2 linked regions of the Styela clava genome follow. The protein of the gene in region 2 interacts with the protein of the main gene of each other region in a pairwise test. Links are inferred from orthologs where the notes say so. Each region holds a gene or a part of one and is shown on either strand. Other genes may lie near its edges. The genes, in order: small ribosomal subunit protein uS5 and programmed cell death protein 2-like.

Region 1 (13,349 bases), on a different chromosome or scaffold from region 2:
ACTAAATCTATCTAAAATATGCTTCAAGTATACATTATCAAAATACATCAAAAACTGTTTGCGGCCTTTTGCACAATTTCCAAAATGCAATGCGGCCCTCGAGAACCCACGAGTTTGGCACCGCCATCCTAGGATATATTGGTATGTAACGCCTAATAAATTTTTTGTCCGTCAGCGTTTTTTGCCCGTCAGCGTGACTAAACATGTATTGATAGAACTGTCTCATAATAATGACAACCCAAGTCTTATCCCATTTGTTTGAATGTGTGCCAGTTTGGGTTTGGATTCGAACGTGATCTCCAATTTGCAAGGAATGTAGTTGTCGAAAGGGTTCGTTCCAGCTTTCCGCAGCCTTCATGTGGCAATTCCTTAGAACTTCCTCTGTGGCTGCTGTTCAGTCCGGATTTGGCCCGCGAGCCGCAGTTTGCCCAGATCAGCTCTAAACTCTAGAATAGATTCTAGCTAGAAAGGTGGATATGGCATCGCGGTATCGTTTGCATGGTCTTACATTGATGGCGTGGCATTGGTGTCTTGTGCAAAAAAAATATTCATCAGGGTTTTCAAGTTGATTCCTATCCCATCACTCAAATCGAGCAACTCAACAGCTTGGAAAAATGCATTTTCGAAGCTCCCCGACTATACAAATGTGTCGTCACTTCGTTCTGTTGGGAGGGAAAGTCTGAGACCATTTCGTCGAAGCGTCTGCTGTAGACATCACCAGATGAAACAAGTGCAGTTTTGAGTATTTTGTGCCGTCTGAAGCTGCCGCAAAACCATGGCGGGATTTTCAAAATATTTTGCCGTCACATTTTTAGGGCCCTCAAGAATATATATGCCTTTGCTATTGGCTGCAGTCATTTGCATGGGTAGCAGATGGGAAGCCTTTACGTCCAGATGGAGAAACCACATAAACAGCCTTGACATACCGCGTCCACTATTGATCATAGGTAAATTGTTCGCTTTGGAGTCATATTTAGCAAAATCCGATGGTTTAGATCTCCATAAATATATTGAAAAATGGCTGTATATCAGCCCTGCGATTCACCCATCTTTGGTACATATCGGCGATGGTCCAAAAAAGTCTCGTTGGACGAATGATTATCAACTAAAGACAATGAATTGAATGAATCAGGTTTTCCATGTACAGTCTATCCATCGCTATATAATGACAATACATCCCATTTAATTAAACAATTATTTTTTGCCTGTAATAAATAGTTCAGAGCGTTCCCCTTCACCCAATCATTGAAACATCTACTCGCGGTTTTATTTTTTGTTTTTCAGGTTACTTCATAGTGATTAAATGAAGTAAAACACATAAGAAAAAAATCAAAAAAAGACTCCGATATCCTGTGAAATAACAACCTCATTCCTATATCCTTGTCTGAAATCAATACCCAAGAATGAAAAACCTCACTTACACCCTTTGTAACCAATTTATTTCCACATCCTACTTTACTTAATTATAGTAATTTTAGTGTTACCGGTAACTTTAATTACTTACTACAATCTGGACTATAATTTGGCAATAATAGGCTCTAATTTGGGGAATGAAATGGTCTCGCCCACCTCTTCATGCACCCAATTCTGGCAACTTTGGTTGGGCAACTTGGCATTTGACTCCAACTATAATCAGCTTGGCAATATGTTTTCAATAGAATCTTCCTTTTATATCTTAATTAACGATTAGAAGATCGATCAATTTGGCAATGGCAATCATTACAAAAATATCAATATGGTGTGGCAGAAAATTTTTTTTTCTTTTCTAGTATTTATTTTTTTTTTTGTTTACTGTATAGTATACCCTAAATTTATCGCGTTTTATTCTTACTTAAATAAATTCTCAGTGGTTGTGTGTGTGTGTGTGTGGCTGGTGGGTGCATGTGAGCGTGTGTGAAATAACTTAATAATTTTAGGTGAGTAAACACGTACCACTTCCTCTTGGCAAAACCTTCCATCTTATATTTTGTACGTTATAAACCTTATCTAAGGTTTTGTTTGCTCCCCTGATTTCATAATCAGTTTTTATTTATTTGTTTTTATCTGTCAAATGTATTGTTATGCTGATTATGGAGTCGAAATAAACTTATACTTTCAGATGCCTTGTTTTTTACCACGACAAAATGGTGTTGTAACACCGAGCAGTAGTCTTATGAGAGGACAGAGTTGTTTCCCGATTTTCAGCAGAGAACTTCTTCAACGTCCCGTATCTCCACAGCACGCACAGGCGGCGTTTTATCGGGGGTTAGGTCGCTGAAGCAGACCTTCAACCTGTGCCTCATTTTTTTACCTACCACCCCAATATAGTTGATATAACTAGAATACGCTTTACAACTAGATATTTTACCGCATTGACATCTCACTATTTAAACTGTAGCTTCACCGTGGTACGATACCAGGGCCCAACAAGGAGCGCCTTAAACCCACACTGTCCGCTTCCCATAATCACAAGAAGTTCAGATGGCTGATTTCATTGTCGCAAAGCAATCGATAAAATACCAAATCATACAAATGGTGGCACGATGGAACATACTAACAGACAGAACACAATTAAAGTGATAGATAAAAGGAACAAGATAGTAAAACATTTCACCACTAACAGAGATCCGACTGTCCATGTCAAAACAAGGACTAAAATGATTAAGAGCAAGTTCCATCAAACATTTAGATGTCACCTCAGTTGAACTGAAAGAAAAGTAAATTAGCGATAATGGTACGAAAAAGCGACTAGCCAACTGTTTTTTTTATATTTTTTAGCATTTGGTGAGCACCATTTGGCTAATTAATTTAGCGAAATGAGCTCAAGCTGCTGCAAGCAAGCTTGACAGCATGTAGCAATGTTTTTAATATTGCTTGACTTCCTGGCGTTGAACTCCGCTCTGCATGTGATGTTTTGACAAATGATCTGTATATTCCTGATACGGAGTCTTTCCCAGAGGTTGATCTTTCCAAAGATCAGGGGTAAGATAGCTGTAGGTTTTTGAAATTGCGTTGAACGTGGCTTTCGCTGAAATAGAAACACACAAAGTTTATTCGACAGCTACATTTTTTTCAAATATAATTTCAAAATTTTGTTATGAAGTCCGTTCTCAATATATCTTGACCAGGTTATTCATATTTTAATTGGTGTTTATTCAAGTTTTTACCTCATTCAATACACTTTCTATATGTACATCAAGTTCTTTCACCTAACTTGATATGGCACTCCATGAACGTATGCTAATAATGTAAGTTGTATCACCAGGGCATAAAATTTTACTTCAACTAACCATGCAATATGTAAAAGTAAAGATAAAGCGACGTGCATTACAGAATAACATACCAAAATTTCCAAGTGTGGCAGTCTGTCCACGGGCAGATGTGTAACAGTCCTCTAGCCCTGCCATCTGCAGCAGTTTCTTTGGAACAGGTGCAGAGACAATGCCAGTACCACGAGGTGCAGGAATGAGTCTCACATGGACACTACCGCACTTACCATGAACCTGAAAAATTGTGCGATTTACAATTTTGAGTATGGGCGACAATTTACAAAAGTTAAAAACTAGAAACGTTGGTTACAATCTCATGTTTGCCTTTGTAGAGATAGATATACAGTCCCAATCTCTGATGATTTCTTTTGAGAACTATTGGACTGACATATAGACAGTAGGTTTAACATTTAAAGTAGCTACACAAGATGTGCACTGCCAAAGAGTACAATGTTTACTCAGACAAAAAAGTCAAGTACAGCTCGTATCATTAGGTGGAAAAAGTTGCTATCAACTACAGTGGATTTTCTCATTACAGGCAAATGCTTCAGATCAGCTTTTCTCATCAAATATTTTCAAGAGTAGCAAATATTTTTCTGAACATCATTAGCATTTGTCGCAGATTTCACTTGGCTTTAAGATTGACAAATATTTAGCAGAAGTATATTAAATTATCATCGCTGATATGTATAAATGATCTGACACAAAGATTTACATTTATATTGCAAGATTCAGCTTTTTATTATACAGACAATAATACTGCTGAAACCAAACAAATCATTACCACGAAATAGAAATTACAATACCTTGCATGGTACTGTATGGGGTTTTCCAATTTTGTTTCCCCAATAACCCCGCCTGATCGGGATGATAGACAATTTAGCTAAGATGATAGCACCACGAATCGCTGTAGCGACTTCTTTGGAACATTTCACTCCTAGACCGACATGACCTTGGAAGTCACCAACTGCCACAAATGCCTAAAAAATAGGTTGGAAATTAAATTTCAAATAAGTTTAGTAGACCTGATCAATAATAATACAAAATTATTATTTACAGAGCATACTTATGTAAGAATTTATTAAAACTCGAAGAAATCTCAGTTCTATTGTACCGAAACGTAGTTTAATCATATTACTGTTATTATTAAGCAAAAACAAAAGACTGCCATGAAAAAATAGGCTACTGTGTCAACTGTCAAGAGTCTTCTCGCTATCTGTATGCGACTAAAGTCAATATTTCTAAGTAAAACTAAGCAAGGTTATGCTTACTCATTTAAAAAATTAAAAATGATAATATACGAGTGAAGTTACAGGCGAAAACAAAAATACCAAAAACTATGCAAGACTATTAACTTATATTGACGAATTGATCGTTAGTAAATACATATTGATGAAAAACAAATAGCTCATGTCAATACAATTCCTGAATCTTGGAATCAAGAAATCAGGCATGAGAGAATGGATACACATTAATGAAAAGAAAAGTCTGGGCATAATATTTTTTTCATGCAGTAGTCACACTGACAGTTAATGCATAAGTGCTCACAGCCAAGTGAAAGCATTTTGGAAGGACAAGTTCCGAAAGCTACTGTGAATTGATGTCATCGAAGCTGTTAGGTCATTTTGAGCGCAACTTTGCAACTTTATAATATTTAGTCACTGTGTAAAGTCTAGGTATTTTCGAACAAAATATTTATTGGTTAGTATACCAAGACAAAAGGTCCAAAAAATCCTCAAAAAAGATAGCACTCTTTAAAAATAAAATCATGCGTTTCAATGTGATCAGAAAGAGAAGTATTTTCAAATTGAAAATAGATAATGTGACAATTGACTTTTGTTAGCTGTTTTAAATTACGCTGTTTTTTATGTGACTCCTTACAACTTTATGGTTTGAAATTTGTCTCCGACACTAAAAAAGGGTCAAGAACCAGTGTTAAATCTGATTGAAGCACCAAATATTTATTATTACCTTGAATCTTGTTCTCTGTCCAGCCCTGGTTTGTTTCTGAACAGGCATGATTTTTAGAACTTCATCCTTCAATGCGCTACCAAGGAAATAATCAATGATCTCAAACTCCTTGATTGGGAGTGAGAAAAGATAGATTTCCTCAAGAGATTTGATCTTTCCATCTTTGACCAAACGACCCAGCTTTGTGACCGGGGTCCAGGTCTTTTCGTCATCTTTCCCACGACCCCTGCCGCGTCCTCTACCTCTTCCGCGGCCTCGTCCTCTGCCGCCACGTCCACGGCCTCCAAAACCTCCACGGAATCCTCCTCCACTGGCTGGTGCTGCGTCCGCCATGCTAAAAATTGAAATACATAGTTTACCTGATACCAGCCACAAATAACATGAACCAAAAAAACATACGGTACCGGTACGTCCCAAAGTTACCTCAAAACTATCGTTCGCCATTGCTGGCCGAAAGTAAATCATTTTGTTGTACTAATTGCAACATTTATCCGAGGTTTTAAACAAATAAACGAAATATTTCACTCCAATCCTACAAAACACATTTTTTTTATGAGATCGGGCCAAAATAAGTCGAAAATATCAAGATTATAGCAGATTAAATTCAGAAGCAACCAAGACTTACTTGTGTGGTATCAAAAAGACTTTGGTCAAATTTTTGTTATGCCTCGTGCGGCCACGTGACGTAGTCAGCCATGCGTGGAATTATGTCTCCAAAAGTATCCCAGCGTGCATTTCAATTATAAATATCAGTTTATTTCGACTCCATAATCACCATAACAGGCGATAAAATAATTGATAAAAACAAATAAATGAAAACTAAATATGACGTCAAAAGAGCAAACAGAATATATAAGATGGGAGGTTAGAATCGAATATTGCCAAATTATACTCCATGGTAATAAATTGGTTATAAGGGTTTTATTATAGGTTTTTCCCCAATTATAGACAGCAAATTCAGACGAGGATATTGGAATAAAGTTTATTATTCCACAGGATCACTTTGGGATTACGTGGATGATTCATCAAAGTCTTTGTAAATGTTTTCTGTGTAGACTTTATTTGATCATTGCGAAGCAGCCTGAAAAATGAAAAATAAATCTCCGAGTACATGTTCAAATGAGTGCATATAAGGTAACATTGTGAACTATTGTTTTGGGACAAAGAAATTGTCCAATGAAATTAAGGAGGTATTGTTCATTAAATATCAGTCATTATGTAAAAAGGGTCGGAGGCTCCAGGAGGAATTACTGTTTGAGACGCAGAAGTAATTATTGCACCATGCAAAAACACTCAACTTTGATCATAGCACACTATATACACTTTGGTCACCAAGTCAACTTCACACCTTACCTTAACATAAAATGCATGTTTACATAAAAGATAGAAAACCACATCAAATTAAAATCACCATCAGCAAACTAAAATGTAAAGGGTAGAATCCAATATAGCTCGACTGCTGGCTTAGTTAATTAGTAATTCTGCAGGAACTAAATTATATTGTCTACAACCCTCATCATGAAATACCACCACTCAAACACAAGAAAATTCATGCATGCGTAATAGGAATGATCTCACATCACGGGAGAGGTTAGGAGCATGCACATGCAAGTGTCAGAATGTGAACAGCTATTCGAAGAAATTCCATCTAACCAAGTATGTCGATTACCACGCCATAAATCATACATAGCATTACATATCCCGCTACGAATATTTTGTAGGGGAAAGTGGGGAAGGTTGGGACACTTTTTTCTTTTGCGTATTTTAGCCGTTTATCTTGCACATTCACTTAACTGTGCGGGACTAATGGAGAGGAGGGTAAATGTAGTTTTTATTCAGCGACTAAGAAATTTCCTTGCGATGCAGTGGATGCACATCTTACTGCCAAAATGCTTTGAAAAACGTTTGTTAAGTGTCCCACTGTACCCCACTTGTGGGGCACATTCGGACAGACCATGGGTAGGGTTACCATATTTTTGTGGCTTCAAATCGGGACGCCCCGAAAGACAACGACCCCTTAGCTGTGATTTTATAACTTCACATTTTCCGATTTTACTACATAGGCCCACATTCCTACATTTAAAGCTGTCTCGGCTGTCTTTATTGACCATATTGTTATCGAAATTTCATGCGCATATTCTCTGTCAAAATATCGGGTTCAGTTCGAAAAATAGGAAGGACTTGACGTTAACGATACCGGTACAAATAATTCGAATTTAGACTAATTAGTATTGGTTTTACATGCGATACGTCTGCCATCAATGGGAATCAGTGGGAAACGAACGCATTCGCCTTCAGTAAGTAGGCTAGCGCTGCGCTACAAAGAAACAACAGTAACGAGAACATGTTTGTGTATTATGCTGGAAAAGCGGGACTTTGGGCTGACTTATCGGGACGGCGGGACAAAACGCTGAAAAGCGGGACTGTCCCGCCTAAAGCGGGATGTATGGTAAGCCTAACCATGGAGCACAATGGGTCATTCTGTCAAAATGCAACGATGTATTCCTTTAAAAATAAGCAATCAATCATCCTAATCGTCTAATAAAGAACAGGAAGACTTCAAATTTGAAGATTTAGGATTTTTAAAATCAATGTTCAACCGAAATATTTCAGCTATTGTATCAAAATATTTAGCAAACAAATTAAATTATTTTTTTTCTCAAATCTAAATCTGGAAATATTTTTGATTCTCGAATATATTCCATATTGGGCCATGGGTCGAAAGATACCATAATATTACACAACATATGACCCATCTGTAGGTCTCTAAGGACTTATTGTATCAAACACTGTCGAATTGTGCCATGTAGGGCATCCCATCTGAACCCCGGTCCATTGTTCCCCATAATAAACAAATACTTTCAGACCATCCCACGGGGAAATTCGGAAGGCATATCCACTCGCCAACGTTATGAATATTCTACAGTAGGCTGAAACTAAGAAATATCATACCATGGCCTGTCACGTTGGAAATGCTAAAGTAGAAAAAAGAAAAAACTAGAATAGTGAAATTTTGGTTTCAACCCCCCAAATCCAATTTCACGTCAAAGCTTGCGTCGCTCTACCCGGCCGTTGTCCGTTTGCGGGGACGTTGTAACTCACCGAAGGGCGGATTGAAACATCGAACTGAGGACCGGATATGGTATCGGTGTGAGAGTTGATTTTCCACTGTGCCCCATTCCCAACGTGCCCCACCTTCCCCTACCAGACTTTGATTAAAAACAAAACTAATTAAAATTTGAAAGCGGTTAAAAATAGCACAACAACACGCCTAATCACAGTACCCAGTAGTTGCAGGGACAATAACATTATTATTATAGCTGGTAGCTGCCCAACATTCTCATTAAAATAACAATGTGCAAGCGAGGAGGAAGAGGAGTGTCCCAACTTTTCGTCATTGCGCACCAAAAAGAAGCTCATTTTACTCGAGGTTTGATATTTGATTGCTTTAAACTATCAACACATCGTAATCAATTTCATAGAAAAATGATGTATATATGTGCCAATATCCATATATCTAGTTTAGAAACAGTAATTTTTAATATTTGGGACCTAGAAGCGACTTAACTTGTTTTTGAAAAGGTTTTTTGTACTTCAACGTCTCCAAATTCAAGATAAGTCAATTCTGAAGTTTGGGTCCAGGGAATGGAGTAAAACACTGGGAATGCTGGCTCACATATTCGCTCATGCAGGGTAGAAACAAATCGGGAGTTACTTCTTCGGCTGGGGGTTACTTCCTCTATTTGACAAGTATTTGAAGTAATGGTCAACATTTTCACATCTTCTTTTCCCGAAAGCAATTCTTAAAAAATTATTACAAATACTATGCAATTTCGAGACGAGTTTTTTGTTTTCATGGAGCCAGACTAAGCAACAGTGTCGGATGTGGCTGAGTAATGATGATTAAAACATTGCTAGTAAAGTTGATTAATTGACATACTCAAAAACCTTGGCAGCTACTGCCAAATTCATTTTTGTTCTAGCAATAACATGTGCAATTTGTTATTTCCAAAAGTGATTTTCATCAAGGATAACTCCTAAGTATTTTATTTCACTCACTATTTCAATATCTTTGCCGTTGAGCATCAGTAAAGGTTTTCAAATATGTGACCGAAAAACATGTCTGAGAGAAACAGAATAAAAATCTTTTTATTTTATATGCAATATTTTAATCCTTGCTTTTCTTCATCCTATAATGAATTAGATATCTATAGTCGGCCTGAGTTTACTTATGCAATCATTATATCCGAATCATATTATATATATAAAATTCTTCATATCACGACGGTAACCTGATTAACTCTCCAAAACCCCATTCAATATTTTTAATATATATGTATAGTATTAAACGCGTAGACTCCTTTAAATTTATATATAAATTTTCAGTCAGGGTGAAGTGGTGAACACAGGGGTTAAACCTGAGATCATCAACCTGTAACTCAAATATTATTTGTTTGTTGAATTTATGCTTGTTTATCTTTTCGTAATCTAATAAAAGTCTTCAATACTTTCATATAGTCACCCAATGAACTGTGAACCCTATATATGCATAACATAAGTTGACTGTATTGTCGTACTAGTATCGCCCCCTCCAATCTTTACCAGAAAACATCAGGTCTGTTTATTGTATTTTTCACTCCGTTTATTTGTTTTTGGAGGACAAATCAATAAATCTATCTATCATACATAACCCCAGAATCTATCTTTTCCCACCGTACTATTCTAAATAGGTAAGTATAACAGTATTTTGAATCCATAATCAGTATAACACATGATTACTTTTTCAGAATATTACATCCATTTGTTTTTATTGTTCGGAAAGTAATTAAACTAAATCAGTAAGAAACGTGCCACATGTTTTACTGAACTTAATTATTGTTAGAACTAGCTCCAACTTTTCCGTGCTATGAAAATTGTAAGGTTTCAGTCTAAAGTCGTCTTAAAATTTATCCGGCAAACAATATATGTCTGTTTTCTGTAATATTTGTGTAGGTTGCGTTTATGGATCAATCCGGAGTTGTTTCTGAAGTTTGAAACTTTGCTTATTTTCAAGCGTGTACATACATACATACTGCATCAATACTCATACACAGTAGGCCTACTACATGCGCACTATCTCTAATTGTAATTTTATGTCTTACTTCACCACGACAAAACCAAAATACGATGTAATTTTATCGCATTATTGGATCGTTTTTATTAGGTTGTTGTTCTTGTTGGTATTTTTCCACTGGTTGTTAGTTGTTACCGTATGGGAAAATTTCTTTTCTCATTAACTACTGGATCAATTGCTTTAAAATTCTCAGTGCAATATATTTTATCGCTAGAAGGCTATAACTTTATTAATTTCAAAATTTTCTGTGGGCTCTATGTGATTCGTTTTTTACTACAAAATTTTGTGTGATGAAATCTTTAAAATGAATACAAATTGTTTGTAGCGGTTCCTCAACCTCTCGCGTGCTACTCTCTTGCTCCGCGAAAGTCGGAAGCTTTTTGGATGTAGCTGTACTTTAGAAGGTAGGGTAGACTTCTTCTTCGCATTGCCCTTCTTGTTTCATACGATCATACATTTATCACGATGACAAATCCACCTTCTGTAATAGTGAAAAGTCAATACCTCAATCTTTGTCATTTTACAGAAAAATACAAGTTAAAATTATGAGATGTAACACATCATTATATAGACAGCAGATAGCGAAGTCACTGATCCACAGGTCCATATTTTTTTATTACCCCATAAGTCACGAATTATGGAAAAAGCATATGTTATATCTTTATAACAAGTAATGAACACAGACTCATTACAAAACTGCACGCGATTTATTTGGACGTCTGTTCCTCAACTCAGTTCAGAACAAAAGACCTCTAAAGTCTAAACAGAGAGAAAACAACTTACGACCAGGGTTGTCAGACCCCAGCGATCACAAAAAGCCGAATCAGGACATAAAAAAAGCCAGAAAAAGCCACATAAACCATATCAGGCATAATGAAAATTGAGTTATAGGCCTACAACTATTTTTTGGAAACAGAACGTAAACTGACAAATAACACGCAAAACTATAAAAACGAGGCGATGTTTCCAACCCTGCTTGAACATCTGTCTGAGCAGCTGCAGAAACTGCACTTATTTCTTATTGGGTATGGTTAAGAGTTAAAGTAACAAACAAGGAAATCGATGCTCCAGGAAATCCTAATGTTAAGTAGCTAAGTAGGCTACAGGTAATAGGCTATTGTTCAGTTGTTACACACTAAATATTGTATTTCATATGATTTTATTAATAGACACTAGAATAGACTTGAAAAAGCCAAAAAAACGCCAAAAAGCCAAACGGAAATTCTGACGCCAAACGCGTTTGAAAAAAGCCAAAAATGGCAAACCGGCTTCAATTTCAAAATCAATAGCTTTTGCTATCTTGCTTTCTATAGAAAGCATTGACAAACTGTTTAGTCTTTCTTGTGAGACCGCACACCTCAAGTATGTTTTAATTAGTTTCAGCTTTGAAAAGCTTTTTTCTCCTGATGTAACAGTTATTGGCATCGTTAAATAAATCCTCAACGCAATGAAAACATTAGGAAATGTTGTAAATCTATTGTTTTCTACCAGGTGTTCAAACTTGACATAAGCCTTAATTACTGGCCTTTTCAAGGTGCGATGGCCCAATTTGATAAAATCGGCCCTATACTATAGTTACTAGTATACCAGTATGCAGATACTGGCAGCAATGCTGTTACAACGCTTATGAAAAAACAATTGAACTGTTAATATCTCTCAAGATGTCTTCTTAGAGCCGTTCCCTTTTAGAGGTGCACGAGCCAAAGTGGACGCAAAAGGTTTTATTTCATATATAGAGAACTACTACTTTGCCATATATTCTTTTCCCGCATATATTGGCGTTTGAAAAACAACGAATACGTTTTTTCGCGCGTTTGTTTCATAAACTCGAGTACCAATGTTTATCTCATGTGTAAATTTAACCCTGGTTAAGAAATGTTGGACTAGAAGAGGCATTGAAATCATATGATAGAACAAGCTTCCGACTCCGAACACCGGACTATCAGTACACATTTGTGTGGTCTAGAATCAAAATCAAAATGTCTATAAGACAGCCCCTAAGCGAGTCCCTCACCACACAGACGTTCAATTGGCGGAGTGGACTGTATAACCATACCTCTGTTTATTTAGAAATACTTTCATAGCATTACTACAACACGACGAATTAATACACTACTGATTACATTGCTTAGTAAACTAGAAAAAGAACGAACGCCATTTCAATAATTGAACACCACCATCATGTAAATTGGAAAATAAAGAAAAATTCTGAAAACACGTGTAATATATTCCCATGGCTATTACCAACACATTGATCGAATATTACCTTTCTGCTCAATTGATGAATATAAATTAATATTTTGTTGCCAGTAAACTTGTAAATATATTTGAGCATTGTGCAGTCGGGGATGAAGAGTATTGGGATTCGATATATTGAGCTCGCCATCGCTGAAAGAGTTGAAGAAGAAGCAAATGACACCCACCAACTTCGTATGGACATAGAAGATTAATTCACAATCTACTTGGGCCTGTCTGTTTTACTGCAGTACGCACTGTGCTAGTCAACAATATTTTTGAGGTGACGGGTGACAGACACTACTACGAATGCATCGATCTTGAGTCATCAGAAAAAGTTGTTGCTTCGATTGCAACTGCGAAAATACACTACTTTATGTTTTTATGAACTGTTATCAACATACCGACCTCAATAATTCGATGGACTCAGCAGTAATATTGGTACTTTCCTAGTATGTCTTAAATTTAAACAATGCAGCTTAAAATGTAATAAAATAGACTGACACTCCTGAACTTTCTATATATATATAAGCCATGATTTCTCAATCGAAAGTTGATACTTTTCTAGCTGGAATTTACTCGAATATTATCCAAGTTTCTGTGACCCACATGCCCAGTCATTCATGCTCAAAAATATGAACATGAGGATGAGGATCTAATGACTAACCACAGTGCCGGTAGTCTTTGCGACTGACTTGCAGTGGAATCTGTTATCTAACCATGGAAAAGATTTAGAAGCCTTTCTGGCAGCTCCAACCATGTTTAAGTAATGGAAATTTGAA
Region 2 (12,956 bases):
AGCGGTCGTTCTAAAAAACCCAGTTCTTGGACTGTTTTATATTGGTCTGGAATCTCCATTAACGTGTGAAGTGCTACAGCTGTTTCCGCATGCTTACCGCCAAATTCTTTAATTACTTTATTATAATCCACGAATTGAAAATTGTCGAATTTACGCTGCGGCAACCAGTCGTCAAATCTCTGTAACATTGTCCATGGTCCGTCGCCGACCCCGACGACCACAATGCTGAGCGGATGATTTGAGGCTTTTACTATTGCTTCGGCTGTTGGCCCTTCGTCAACAAATTGCCCGTCAGCGATGATAATTAAAATATGAAATTGTTTATTTGTGTCTTCCACAATTTCAATTGCTTTATTAATAATAGGAGCGTAGCTCGTCGGTCCATCTAGTGTTACCCTGTTTACAGTCTCCTTATAAAATTTTTGTAGTTCGTCAAAAGATGAACAAGGCACGTGACTCGGATTTAACGAAAAAGTTGATTTATCTTTTGTGAGAGAATCCCCGAAACCATATGCATGAATGCACTGTAATTTTGCCGGTTTTCTGACGGACATGCGTGTGTTGTTTACGTAAGGATCATGTCCATAAGGAGTCATCAAGGCTAACAAAGTTCGATTCAGAATGCTGATTACATGCTGATAAGGGTTTTGAATGTGGGACCTGTAATATTAGAGAGATTATTACTAAGTGCAAGATAAATTAAGCACAATTTAGGCCTTATTGTTATCGAAGTACACCAGCGTTTCTCAAACTTTTTTTCTCCTGGACCACATACACTTTTTATCTCTCCGCCTATCCGCCTGTTTGTCGCAAGTTGGGAGCCAAAGTTTAATACCCAGAGTCGCCAAAGTACGACCGAGATCGCCATGACGACCAATTTACAGTTGAAGAAGACAGTATATAATTTTAATAATACATTTAGCAGAACCTAGCAGTTTAGGCAGTTGTGTTGGCATTGGCCATCACAGATCTCATTCTCAGGTACAAGTAGCATGCCCCATGCCAACTCAACCTGGGGTGTAACAAATTGCATAGGTAATGCCAAACCAGAAAAATTCCTTCTAATTTACAAATCGTACAATATCAGTGGTGGCTTGTACAGGGCCTTGTTTAGAGCAAACGATACAGTAGTTAGCTTCTCTAAATATCCACAGATAAGAATTTTAAATTATTCGATTTTCAAATCTTTCTAAACAAAATTTTGCATAATCAGAAATCGTGTTTCTTCCTTATATTACTTCCTCATATGTCATCACATAAATAAGGTCATACAGGTAGACATAACCTGTTAAAACCTCCCACGTTATTTGTTATGAAAACAAAGAGAGGAAATGACAGAGACCAAACAGGAATTCTGATGATACTAATATAGTAGGAAGAGCTCATAGTTTGCTGTTTAACAAGCATAAAACAATGATGGAACATTCCTTAATACAGGGTCATTCGAGTAACCGCTGGTCGATTAAAGCTTCCTCTGCAATTTTAAAGTGTATATATAGTAAATACCGTACCCACATCTCAAACAAGACTGATGAAGTGCAGACTAATTTAAAATGGTTTTCTTATTTTTCATGGTATCAGAAATTCTACCGTGAAAAACCATGAAAAGTTTTGCAAAGTAAAAACCATGAAAAATCACCAAAAAATTTATTCTTAAAATTTAGGTGGTATTGAAATTGTAAGAAAGTATTGAACATTATTAATCATGAATTGATTCAAATCTTCATTTCATTCCGGATTTCCCTACTAATACAATAACATTTTTGCAGGCTTAAGAATTATCAAGAGTCCTGATGCCCACTAACACAAATATATTCAGGTCAGGTCAGACGAAACGTTACAGAAAGATCTTTGTGTTAGTGTGCAGCAGGACTCTTGCTTGAATTGCATATTATGGCATTTTCCTACTACAGCATCCTTGCATTATACGCATATGGATCCACTAGCGCAAAGGCATTGAAAAAGGATTGGGATTTAGTCTCGCGAAACCTCTACTGATAGTTATAAATAATTATTACAGAGTTGTGAAATAAGTTTAATTGGTCAATACAAGTAATTCATTAATTTTCTACGAAAGCACTTTATATTCATTTTAATGGTTTCCAGTTACCAGAGCAATTGATAGGCTGGCTTTACAATAGTAATGCAAAGAAAAAGGTTTATATTTTCAAGGAAATGCCTATTATATGAGTAGAAAATTGACCCTAAATCAACGTTTGTCTATAATTTTCTTCAGGGCGATCGATAGGCTGTTAGTTTTACAATGGTAATACAAAGAAAAAAATTTATATTTTCAAAAAATATCTATTATTTGCGTAGAAAAATGACAACAAATCCGCGTTTTTTTATAATTCTCCAGCATTGAATAAGAACTCAAGTCAGTTATAATTTCCTTCTACATTCAATAACTAGTTTGAAACACTATATTAGTATAAGAAAATTTATGTTGCCTATATTTCCAGCACTTAATACATATGTCACTGCAGAGTGAAAGACAAAAATAAAGCACAAACATCATATTCACAACTCGGGAAAATATTGAAATATTTGATGTTTACTATGAAATTTGAAGAGTCCTGCTGCACACTAACACTTCCACAAACAAACAGTTTATAACAAAAACTGTTTGTCTGAGGAAGTTTGATTTTGGTCGGACGAAACATTTATTTTTTATAGTTGAGGTTTATTGGACCAAAAAATTTTTATGCAACAAAAGAAAAAAGGTTGAGAACCACTGCACTAGGCATTGAGGAAGGATTTGGAGTTAGTCCTGCACAACTTCTACTGATAATTTAATATATATATTTTAATTGATTGAACAATATTACCTGGAGCTGACATGGTGAAGGGAATGTCCTTTATTAGTGGATCGTCCTTGCCATTCATTGCTGGCTGTAAAATCTATTCCTAGTATAAGTCGACATTCTTCTAAGCCTGCTTCTTTGATGGCTTGAGTTACATCTTCAAGCGATTTGAATCTGAGAATAAAAATGGTTGAAAAGTCGAGATTCCAATGAGAAATGAGGTCAGCACTAATTTGAAGTCAGATTTCTATGTTATTGAAACTGAAAGTCTTGTTATGCCGATGAGCCTTCCCCCCCCCCCCCCTTATTTTATATGTTAAAATGATTTTCCCTGTATTTTTTCATGAAAATTTTTCACACCTTTGTTACAGCCTAGGTTGTATGACATGGGATGGAAGGATAATCAAAATTCAAAGAACCAAAGTCTTTTCAGATCAGCACAACACCAATTTAATAATAAGACTGAAAATGAACTTTTTCTAAAATAAATACCAGAGATCTACAATATCAATTTTATTCAGAATATGCACTCAAGGCATAATCATTGACTCAATGACTAAGCTAATATATTACTGGTTAACTTCTGCAGAAGACATAGGACTAAATCATGTTGGGCATCATACATGTCAGGATTATAACCTGTTGTATAAGTATAAGTTAAGTTATAAGTGTATTTTGACTCCATAATCAACATAACAGACGAAAAAATAATTGATAAAAATAAATAAAATAAACTGATTACAGAATCGGGAGAGAACCTAAACTATAAGTAATATATAAAACAAACAAATTTTGAATTGAAAGGTGTTGCCAAAAGAAGTGTTCAACCGCTTAAAAATGAATTATTACATCACACACATACAAACGCAGAGATGTAATAAAATTAAAAGGAGAGTAATCGTTCTCTATTTCACCACCAGATAGAAGGCTTAATACTTATATTTGAATAAAATTTGGAAATAACAACAAACCTGTCTTCGAAGGCACGGAATTGAAATGGTGATGGTTTCTCATGAATCAAGGCGTGTGGATCGTGATAATTATTATTCCAACTTTTAAACAATGATCGAAAAAATCCACCATTATTTTGACAATTACACCCGGGAATGGTGCAAGTATTTTCTGCCACTATACTCGAGCTTCGAGATGAATTAGAGTCCTTTTCACTTTGTCTTAAATCTTGGATGTATAGATCGTATAAATAGTATCCAACGATTGTAGCTATAATGAATAAGACCACTGACATAACTAACACTAAATTATATAGCCTACGCTGTAAAAGAAATATAAATTGGTCAAACTCAGGCAATGCTCTCAAGCTCTTTCCAGTTCTTTGAAAGTCAGTTGAGTAAATGGAACTAAAACTCAAAAACAGACCAAATTATATCAAAAAAACTAGTATTATAACTTAGTGGGATTGATTATTGAACACATGGACAGTATGGACGTCCACATCGATCAAATAAGCAAATTAGTTTGCATTAATTTTATTCAATATTCTAATTATTTTATTATAGAATTAAATTAAGATGGTTTTAATTGAAAAATTATCATTTTTAGCAATTGAAGTCTTAAAAAAATTCCCATATCAAAATTTAATATTTTCCAAAAATTTGCTATTTCTATAGAATCCTTCAATTAATCATAGTTTTTAAATAATATTTAAATAGATCATTTTTCAGCAAAAATCATTCTATATATTCAATTCTACTATAATATACATAACAAATATGATTTTGCCATAAAAACAACACCTAATTTTATTATTCTGCATTTTACTAAAACACCAAACAAATTTTAAACAAAACTCAAATCGGAAAAGCACCAAAAAAATTCCATAAACTAAAAACGAACTGAAAAATAGGAAATCTTTCCTGTAATTTAACTCTAATATCAATCTCCAACATTATGTGAAAAATCCTGTTTATGAATATAATCAGGAATGTAACTGATACTTTCAGACACACAATCATTAGAGCAAGTATATATTGCCAATATCCCCCAATCTATGCACGGACCATCTAAACTCGACTCTAAATTCAGATGATTCAGAAGTTGCGGCATAATTTGGAATTCAAATTGACGTACAGATCCACAATTCTCACATTTCGGGACCTTTTCAGACAACATTTTGTTTTCGTCAGAACACCATAAAGGTTGGCCGCCCTTATCATATCTCAATATTTGATCCGATGAATTTGATATTGTTTTTCTGAAAACTGCAAATTGATTATCTTCAATACTATAATCTGCAAATTGCTCTAATTCTCTCGGAGAAAAGCTTCGATTTTGAGAAACATTTTCAGATTCGTAATCCTCATTAACACCATTTTCTTTAATGTCGTCCAAGTCGTCTAAAATTCCTTCCGCTTCTATTATAATTTCATTTTCAGGGTAGAGAAGTTTTAAAGAACTTTCATTTTCTCCATCAGAATCACTTCCAAGGTTGCCACATTTCACCTTATGACTTTTCCAGCCTAAAACTTGATGTTCTCGGCTACAATATGCAACAAGTTTGCATTTAGAGCATAATTTATCTCCTTTGTTTCCACAAATATTACATAAATTTTCGTAGCTCATGCAAGACTGGGAAAATGTTCTTGAATCGTAGTCTGGAGGTTCAGAGCTGTAAAACGCATTTTCTTTTTTTAACTGACATCGGAAAACGCGAAAAGGACCATTCGAGTTTGTGGAATAACAAGAAGGTGTTTTGCAACAGAATAGAAATATAGTTCTGTGGAAAGCGTCATCCAGGTTTTCATTTGGAGCATAAATTTGAAGAAGGAATATTGTTGGTTTTCCACAAGATGGGCATTTCAGTTCTTCTGTTGAAGGCAAGTTCTTTGGGTCCAACCAGGCAGGTTTTCCTCCCAGTTTGCTAGGAAAGTAGCATCTTGAAATTAAAAAAAATATTATTAAATAAGTTAATAAACCAATTATTATATAGTTATTCTTGCCAGCTGATATAGGTAGCTAGGTTGAGTGATGTAATAGTATGGCGCGGTCACGTCTTACCGTTATAGAATTCGAACGCATAAATACATGCGTCAGTGCGTTGATTTGACCAAAACACGTTTGTGTCCGACACACTATCAACTTTATCGTTGTTTTTTTCAACCCGTGTGACTCACTTTTCTTCAACATAAAATGCCCGAGAATCCTCTCACTGCTGCTCATCGAGTCTTTTTTTTATGATGTAAGTATTTTTATTTGTGTTAATTTTGGTGAACGAGCACACCCGCATCATAAACTTTATTCTATGTTTTGTTCATTTCATTGTTTTCAGAATGCCGAAATAAATTGTATTGTTTAAAAATATATATGAAGTAATTTGAAGCAGAATTCTGATATGCTAGTAGATTATAAATAGATAACCAGAAGTGATATAGGCCAATCTTAATCCGTCGTACACATAAATAATTATTTCACAATCGAACTATCAAATTTTACATTTCTGCAATTTCCAATTTCGATTAACTTATCTAAAATGTTAAACATAATATTGCAAATTCGTAAAATTACAAACCTATATAGTCTCCAAAAGTCTTCGTGATCGATATTTTTTAAAAATCCAAGTTCAATTCCCGTCGAGGATGAACCCTGACTGCTTTGATCAGATTCCATTGCAACAAAACCCAAACAACATTATCAATGAAGTCGTCGGCGCGGCGGTTACGAATGAATGACTGAAAGTGAATCACCGTGTTTGCTGATGAATCAATTTCGCGGTAATGTAGGTTCGCGCAAACGGACCTTAAAATTTTTTAGAATGTTTTTTACTGTCTGTCATTATATGAGATGACTTTCTAAATACCATATTGAACCGACGAAAAAGTCGTTTGAATTTTGCTTCATACCCCTACCTCTGGCACCAAATTTAACATATTTATAAACGCATTAAACGGTAACTTTCTTTCATTTTATTTTGGCATATGCGCAGACATATTCTGTTCATTAGAGAGTAAATGCGCAAACTATATATACGTTTAAATGTGGTACATATATTACATATCACATAATATCGTTCGCTGTATCTCTAGAGGGAAAATTATAATACCATGGGCTTCACATTTTGCCCTCAGAATTTTTTTTTACGATAACCCAATATTAATTAGCTATTTTATTATACCTAATGTAGTCTTAGCGGGTTTACATGTGTGGAATGCCACTTTACGCAAGTGAAGATGAATCTATCACATTTAGGATTGGATTTACATATATATATATCCCAGGGGAGAGGAAAGCCGATAAAACGGCTTATCCATATGGCGAACCACGGTCTCTCGTCCGGTTACCATTTCAAGTGGGTATGGGATTAGTTATATTGTTTGCATGGACTTAGTGGTGGAGGAAGCCGTAACCGACCAGCGGTTCCGTGAACCATCCAACGACGGCGAGGAGTCCAGCAATCCTCTCGCACATAACCATCCTGCATGGGATTCGAACCTGCGAACACACGCAGAGTAATTAGAGGTGCGGTGGCGAGCGTATTCCTAACGCTTAGCCCGTTGAGCCACGCCGCCGCGCCTTTTAGATACATCACCTAAACATGGCAGTTCGACGTCGCACTGTAGCCTATCCTTAGTCTTTCAACCCGTGGTAAATTACAGCCTCCTCCGCTAGCAATGCTGTGCATTCTTAACGAAACATACCTGTCAAGTAATATTACAATGGCCAACATGGACAGCCAACCGAACGAGAGACGATGGTTTGCCGCATTATCAAGTAATCTTATCTACTAACTAACCTTTCCATCGGGATAAATACGAAATCATATCATTTATCGTTTGAAACGGAACGAATCCGGGAAATTAGTAAAAACTCAGGAAGTCTGGAGAATTTGCAATCTAACCCGGGAAGTTACGAGATTCGATAGAGGGTTACAAATATCTTTGACTCCGATACTGGGACAGCACCATTTAGCCCTGGAACACGAAATAAAACTTACTTCATGTAGCAAATACGACATGACAGTCCCGATATCTATGATAGTCATTTCAAGTATCAAGGCCCATGCACCTGGGATGAAAATAATTGGCCAACTAATTCCATACCCAACACGGACTGATAACCGGATGAGAGGCCGTGGTTTGCCATATGATTAAGTCGTCTTAGCATGTTTATCTCCCCCAGGATGAGTATGTAAATCCTATCCTAATCACAAGCAGCAGTATGATGAAGCGATATATTCACAAGCACATTACTGACTGGGCACAAATATCAGAGATGGCGCACAACCTCAACATAGTACGGGTACCAGGTTGTGGTTCAGGTTGTGCGCCATCTTGGTACACATACTTCGGGAGCGCCAAAATATCAGTAAAGACATCTTGTACCTCAAAATTGGGATAAAAAACGAAATAGGGGAAGATATTCAACTCATACCAATAAGACACCAATTGTCGCACAAAAATATATTTGTCTGACAAACAGAAAGGTGTTTTTGCTGATAAAAACTGATAATCAGCGAATTAGCTAGTTTGCATTTCACGATTAATAAAGAAAAGTAAATAATTCCATTATAAGAGTACAGTATAGAAGAAATATTTGTACATTACAATTACAACCCATATATTCCACTCCATGTCTGCAATTTGTTATTCCCGAACTATTACCGACATATCACACTTTAGATACAACTGCTAATTCCCTGTTGAATTCGATAATTTCACAGCAAATTTGATTATTTTTGAGCTGCAAAAAAACACCTTCGTCAAATAAGATCAATTTGAATTGTTGTAATCGAATCTTCCGGCTATTCCTAACAATTTTACAAGGCAATCTGAGTTATAAAATTTCAAAGCTGAAATATCTGATTAAATTGTATTAAAAGTGTTTCGGCCCACTTCCAAGAAAAGATAAATTTACCATTTTTTCTTTGGAATTACATTTGGCATGAAATTTTATCCTAGTCAATCTAATTTCGTTTCTAATGCAAGAGATTGAAAATAATTTAGATTTTTGGTTTAGTTTTGCTGAAGCAGCACAACCACAAAAACCTTTCAGTCTGGCAAAGAATAATACACCTTAAATGAAAATGAATTTCTAGGGGTGAAAGGTCAACAGGTATATAAAAAGTTTATTACAGATCAAATATGGCCTCGTAAAATCGACTACTTCTAGAAACTGGACCAAACATGATCATAGATAAACTCTAAAAATCGCCATAAAACACCAAAATCACACTGCTCAAAAATGGTAAAATTAACAGAAGATTTACAGAAATTGAATAAGAATTCATAACCGTAAATTGGACTATTTTTGTAATTCATGAAAACACTTAAATTTCTTAGTAGATTAAACAACATTTTCAACAGCACCATATGAAAAAATAAATCCACATTTTGAAATAAGGTTCTTAAAATAAATATACATTAGGTGAGACTCATAAAAATAGTTTTGTTGTTTCCCCAGCATGCAGTAGCAAAGTGATGGATATACAAAGTCCTTTCACGATTTCAATTTCATTGTGAAGTCAATTCTCAGTATGTCCTATACAGGTTTATTTTTATCAGTGCTTATTTAGTTTTATTTACTTCATTTAATACACCTATGTGCGCCCACAAACCATACATATCTATGATTTTCCTTCAAAATTTTAAAATTTGAAAGACTTTATAAACTCCCTGTATAGTAGTTTGTATAAATTCATTTGCCTGTCTTGAGAATATTCACATATAAATTAATTCAACACAAATTGGCTGAGTAGTTTATGTACCATGGAATTGTAGAATGTAGGAATTGATATAGATAGATGTTTCTATATTCTAATACAGTGGTTCTCAAAAGATGGGGCGCACCCCACAAATTTTTATTGTTTAAAACCTGATGTGGCCCTGATCCACCCAGACTCTGCCCCCAGTGGCCCCTAGGTAAATTAAGTTAGAGACCCCCGGTGTAGACAATTTTTTGAGGGGGTTTGAATCTAATCACAAATAAAAATATTCGTTAAATTGGATCTTGCCGTTTTATTTTAGATAGTTACATTTCTTTATTCTGGATATTTACGTTCCGTCCACGTATCTTCAATATGCTTTTTGAATAAAACTTACTTTCGCCTATTATCTATAGCTTATTGTTAGCTAGTTATTTTTTAGATGGGGCACGAGACTTGATAAATTATAAAAAGGGGGTGCAGCTTAAAAAGTTTGAGAACCACTGTCCTAATAAGATGTCTGAAATTTTCACATGAAATTGACTTAATTCCTAGGACATCCCGAAAGTCGACTAAAATATTTCAAAACAATATCTATGTATATTGGCTTCCTGTACTAGGTCTTGTTCCGAGGAAAAATAGTCAGATAACAATCGACAAATATTAATAGCCGAGCGTTGAAATAGAATCCAGAAATAGTAGTCTTTGAAAACTTTTTTATCTTAAAACACTAGTAACTTGAACAGTTCCCCAAGCTCTGTTTTGAAAAGTAAAACAGAGAAAACACAAATTGATAAGTAGAAATGGAACCTATTGAAACTGCAATGTTAAAATTTACAGTATAAAAAAATAATTGTCTTATAATCTTAATATAGGAGGCATGCTGGTTTCGAAAAGGTGTGTGCCAGCTAGAACATGGCTCACGTTGTGTCTGATACCCTAAATTACATATGAGTCAAGTATGCCCGCACTTAAAAATAAATCAGTATTAATTTTACATCTAAACACATCTAAAACAAACAAAAAATTATATCGAACTAGACTCTCCTCTATAATCCAAAATTAGGTTAAAAGTTAATAAATCGGTTATAATATTAATAACAAGAATGATAAATTTCATTTGTTTCAGTTTTTATTTTAAAAAAATTATTTTTTTCAGTCTGTTGCAAGTCATTTTTTAACCCATCCTTCTTCGCAATGAATCCCGTAGGATTCCCATAAAACTTTGTCTACGGAATCTAAATCTGATTTAAGTTTTGTACGAAGTTCTTTTAAATCTTTCACAGAGCTTTGTTTAAGCATAGTAGTTTTTTGAGCTCTGTGTAAAAACATACATTTTTGAATATTTTTTGAGTTTTCCCTGTTTTGTACGTCCTCAGCTAGAATTGCGATTTCATCATTTGCTTTTTGTAACTCATGTTCATAACTTTGAGCGTTTTCCAAATTCTTTTTAGCTGATTCTTGAGCGATCCTTGCTCTTTCGTTCGCCTCTGTCGCTTCTTTTTTCCATGCGTCACACGCAGTTTTCGCTTGATTCCAGCTTTCTTCCCATTGTTTGCATTTTCTTTGCATTCTATCTAACTCCATGAGAGCGCTGTCATTCCCGGAAACTGATCCTGAAAATCCTTCTTTACTGCTGAATCCCGATGAACTAGGGGGGCGTCCTATCGATGGGAGAGAACCAGCGTAACTACCTCTTCCACCAACAGCGTCGAGACTCCCATAAAATGAGGTCTGATTTGCTCCACTAGGTGGTGATGGAGTGGGTAACGGATTTCGTTGCGACATTCTCATTTCCTGAGGAATATTCACTGGAGCAGACATCGTAAAAAATGAGGAATTATCATTTCGTCCGGACCCTATCGGATCAGGCCAAAGTTTACTCGCAGAACTGGGTCCTGATTTATTATCCAATAAATCATGACCTTCAAAATCATCCAGGGCATTTCCAATTACGGAATCGACGGTTTCATCAGGAGGATAAAACGGTTTCGCCTCACAATTCAGTAACCTTAATCTATTTAGAGATTTCGGAGACGATTCCGTACTTGACAAACTATTTCGACCAATCAAATGCGAGCTCATGGAACCGCCTCCCCATGAGAAGGGACTACTCGCAAGACCGCCGAGACTTTGAGCTTGAAATTCCCCTCTTCCCGATCCTGGTGCTTTCAAATATCCTTCCCCTTTTCCAAGGCTGCTAGAAAGCCAGTTCGGTTTGGCGATTGGTGAAGGGCATGATGGAAACGTGTTGTTCGAAACAGAATCCAAAGGACTCTGTGGGGATTGAAATAAAGATTGCTGTTGATGACGATCAGGCAATGAAAATGGCGCCGGTATCCCTCCGATTGTGGGGCTATCACTATTCCAAACATTTTTTGTCGATTCAAAAGACGCAGAAAAACGTAGATCATTCGGAGCTTGAGGCCGCCCCGCTCCTGGTGCATTACTAGGAACAGCTTTTGGCTCTGATGGAGCAATACCCCCATCTTGTGGTCCGGAACTTTGAGGACTTAGGCTGTTGGGAGACAAGACTTGTACTCCTGGTGGCAAATTATTTAAATCCACATCTTCTAAGACTCTTATTTCTGTATGAACATGGGCAAAAGCACAGAACGGTCCCCGAGGGCAGTAACCATTTTGTAACATATCGTGACACTTTGTACTTTTGTAAATTTCCGGATGGAATTGTTGTTCCGTACGAGTGTGACAGAACTGACAATTATCTCCTTTATCACATGAGGATGGATCCTTCCAATCATCTCCTTGTTTCACATTGGGACAAGGACTAGACCTATAAAAACAAAAACAAGCATATGTGATATTTAAGGAATATATATTTTAGGTAAGTGAACACACACCACTTTTGGACAACACCTTTCAATCGAAATTCTGTACGTATTAAACACAAGTAGCAAATGTCATGACTCATGACCAGAGTTTTACAAAGTGTCCAACTGCCAATAGAGTCCCTTCTGAAAAAAGGAATTACATACACCATTCATAGATTCATTCATTCTAGCAGTAGAAGTGTAATATAATTGAAAGTTGTATAAATTCAAACTCACCTGTATTTATATTTTTTAGGATTTCTTCTTCTATCCTTGGGATTATGAAATTGCGGACAAGCGTAACCTTGTCTACAAAGCCTGGGTGGCCTTCGGCATGGCTCAGTTTTATAATTTGCTAAAACGTAATTCCCATCCTGCCATTTCGGATCATCGTTGATAATTTTTTCTGATAGATTACATTGCTCAATAGGTTCCGCTCTCTGGGCAGGGTCGGGTTTTTCCATTTCACGTACATCGTACACTGGGGGCCTTAAATCAGGTGCACCATGTGCAAAAGCACAGTGCGGACCATTTTTAACGCAGTTTCCTCTTGAATCAGTCTCATGTATACATGTTCCAGTTTTATAATATCGTAAATGATATCTTCGTTCCGTGTCTCCAGTGTTTCTGAACAAATAAAAACAATTTGGATTGAAAATATTCATA

The links.
Region 1: the proteins of programmed cell death protein 2-like (region 2) and small ribosomal subunit protein uS5 interact in a two-hybrid assay, tested with the Drosophila melanogaster proteins (2 studies listed by BioGRID). The link is inferred for Styela clava from reciprocal best matches to the Drosophila melanogaster genes Zfrp8 and RpS2.

What each region holds. Positions count from the first base shown.
Region 1 is NC_135259.1:5,040,267-5,053,615, reverse strand, and holds small ribosomal subunit protein uS5, read right to left. Parts: upstream 5,863-13,349; 5' UTR 5,845-5,862; intron 5,554-5,844; 5' UTR 5,553-5,553; coding exon 5,220-5,552; intron 4,229-5,219; coding exon 4,055-4,228; intron 3,483-4,054; coding exon 3,323-3,482; intron 3,008-3,322; coding exon 2,844-3,007; 3' UTR 2,456-2,843; downstream 1-2,455. UniProt on the Drosophila melanogaster protein: Component of the ribosome, a large ribonucleoprotein complex responsible for the synthesis of proteins in the cell.
Region 2 is NC_135264.1:14,422,697-14,435,652, forward strand, and holds programmed cell death protein 2-like, read right to left. Parts: upstream 6,500-12,956; 5' UTR 6,429-6,499; coding exon 6,331-6,428; intron 5,698-6,330; coding exon 4,698-5,697; 3' UTR 4,078-4,697; downstream 1-4,077. Other genes in the region: uncharacterized protein LOC120333673, read right to left, coding at 1-660, 2,829-2,978, 3,776-4,050; RING finger protein unkempt homolog, read right to left, coding at 10,630-12,253, 12,528-12,917.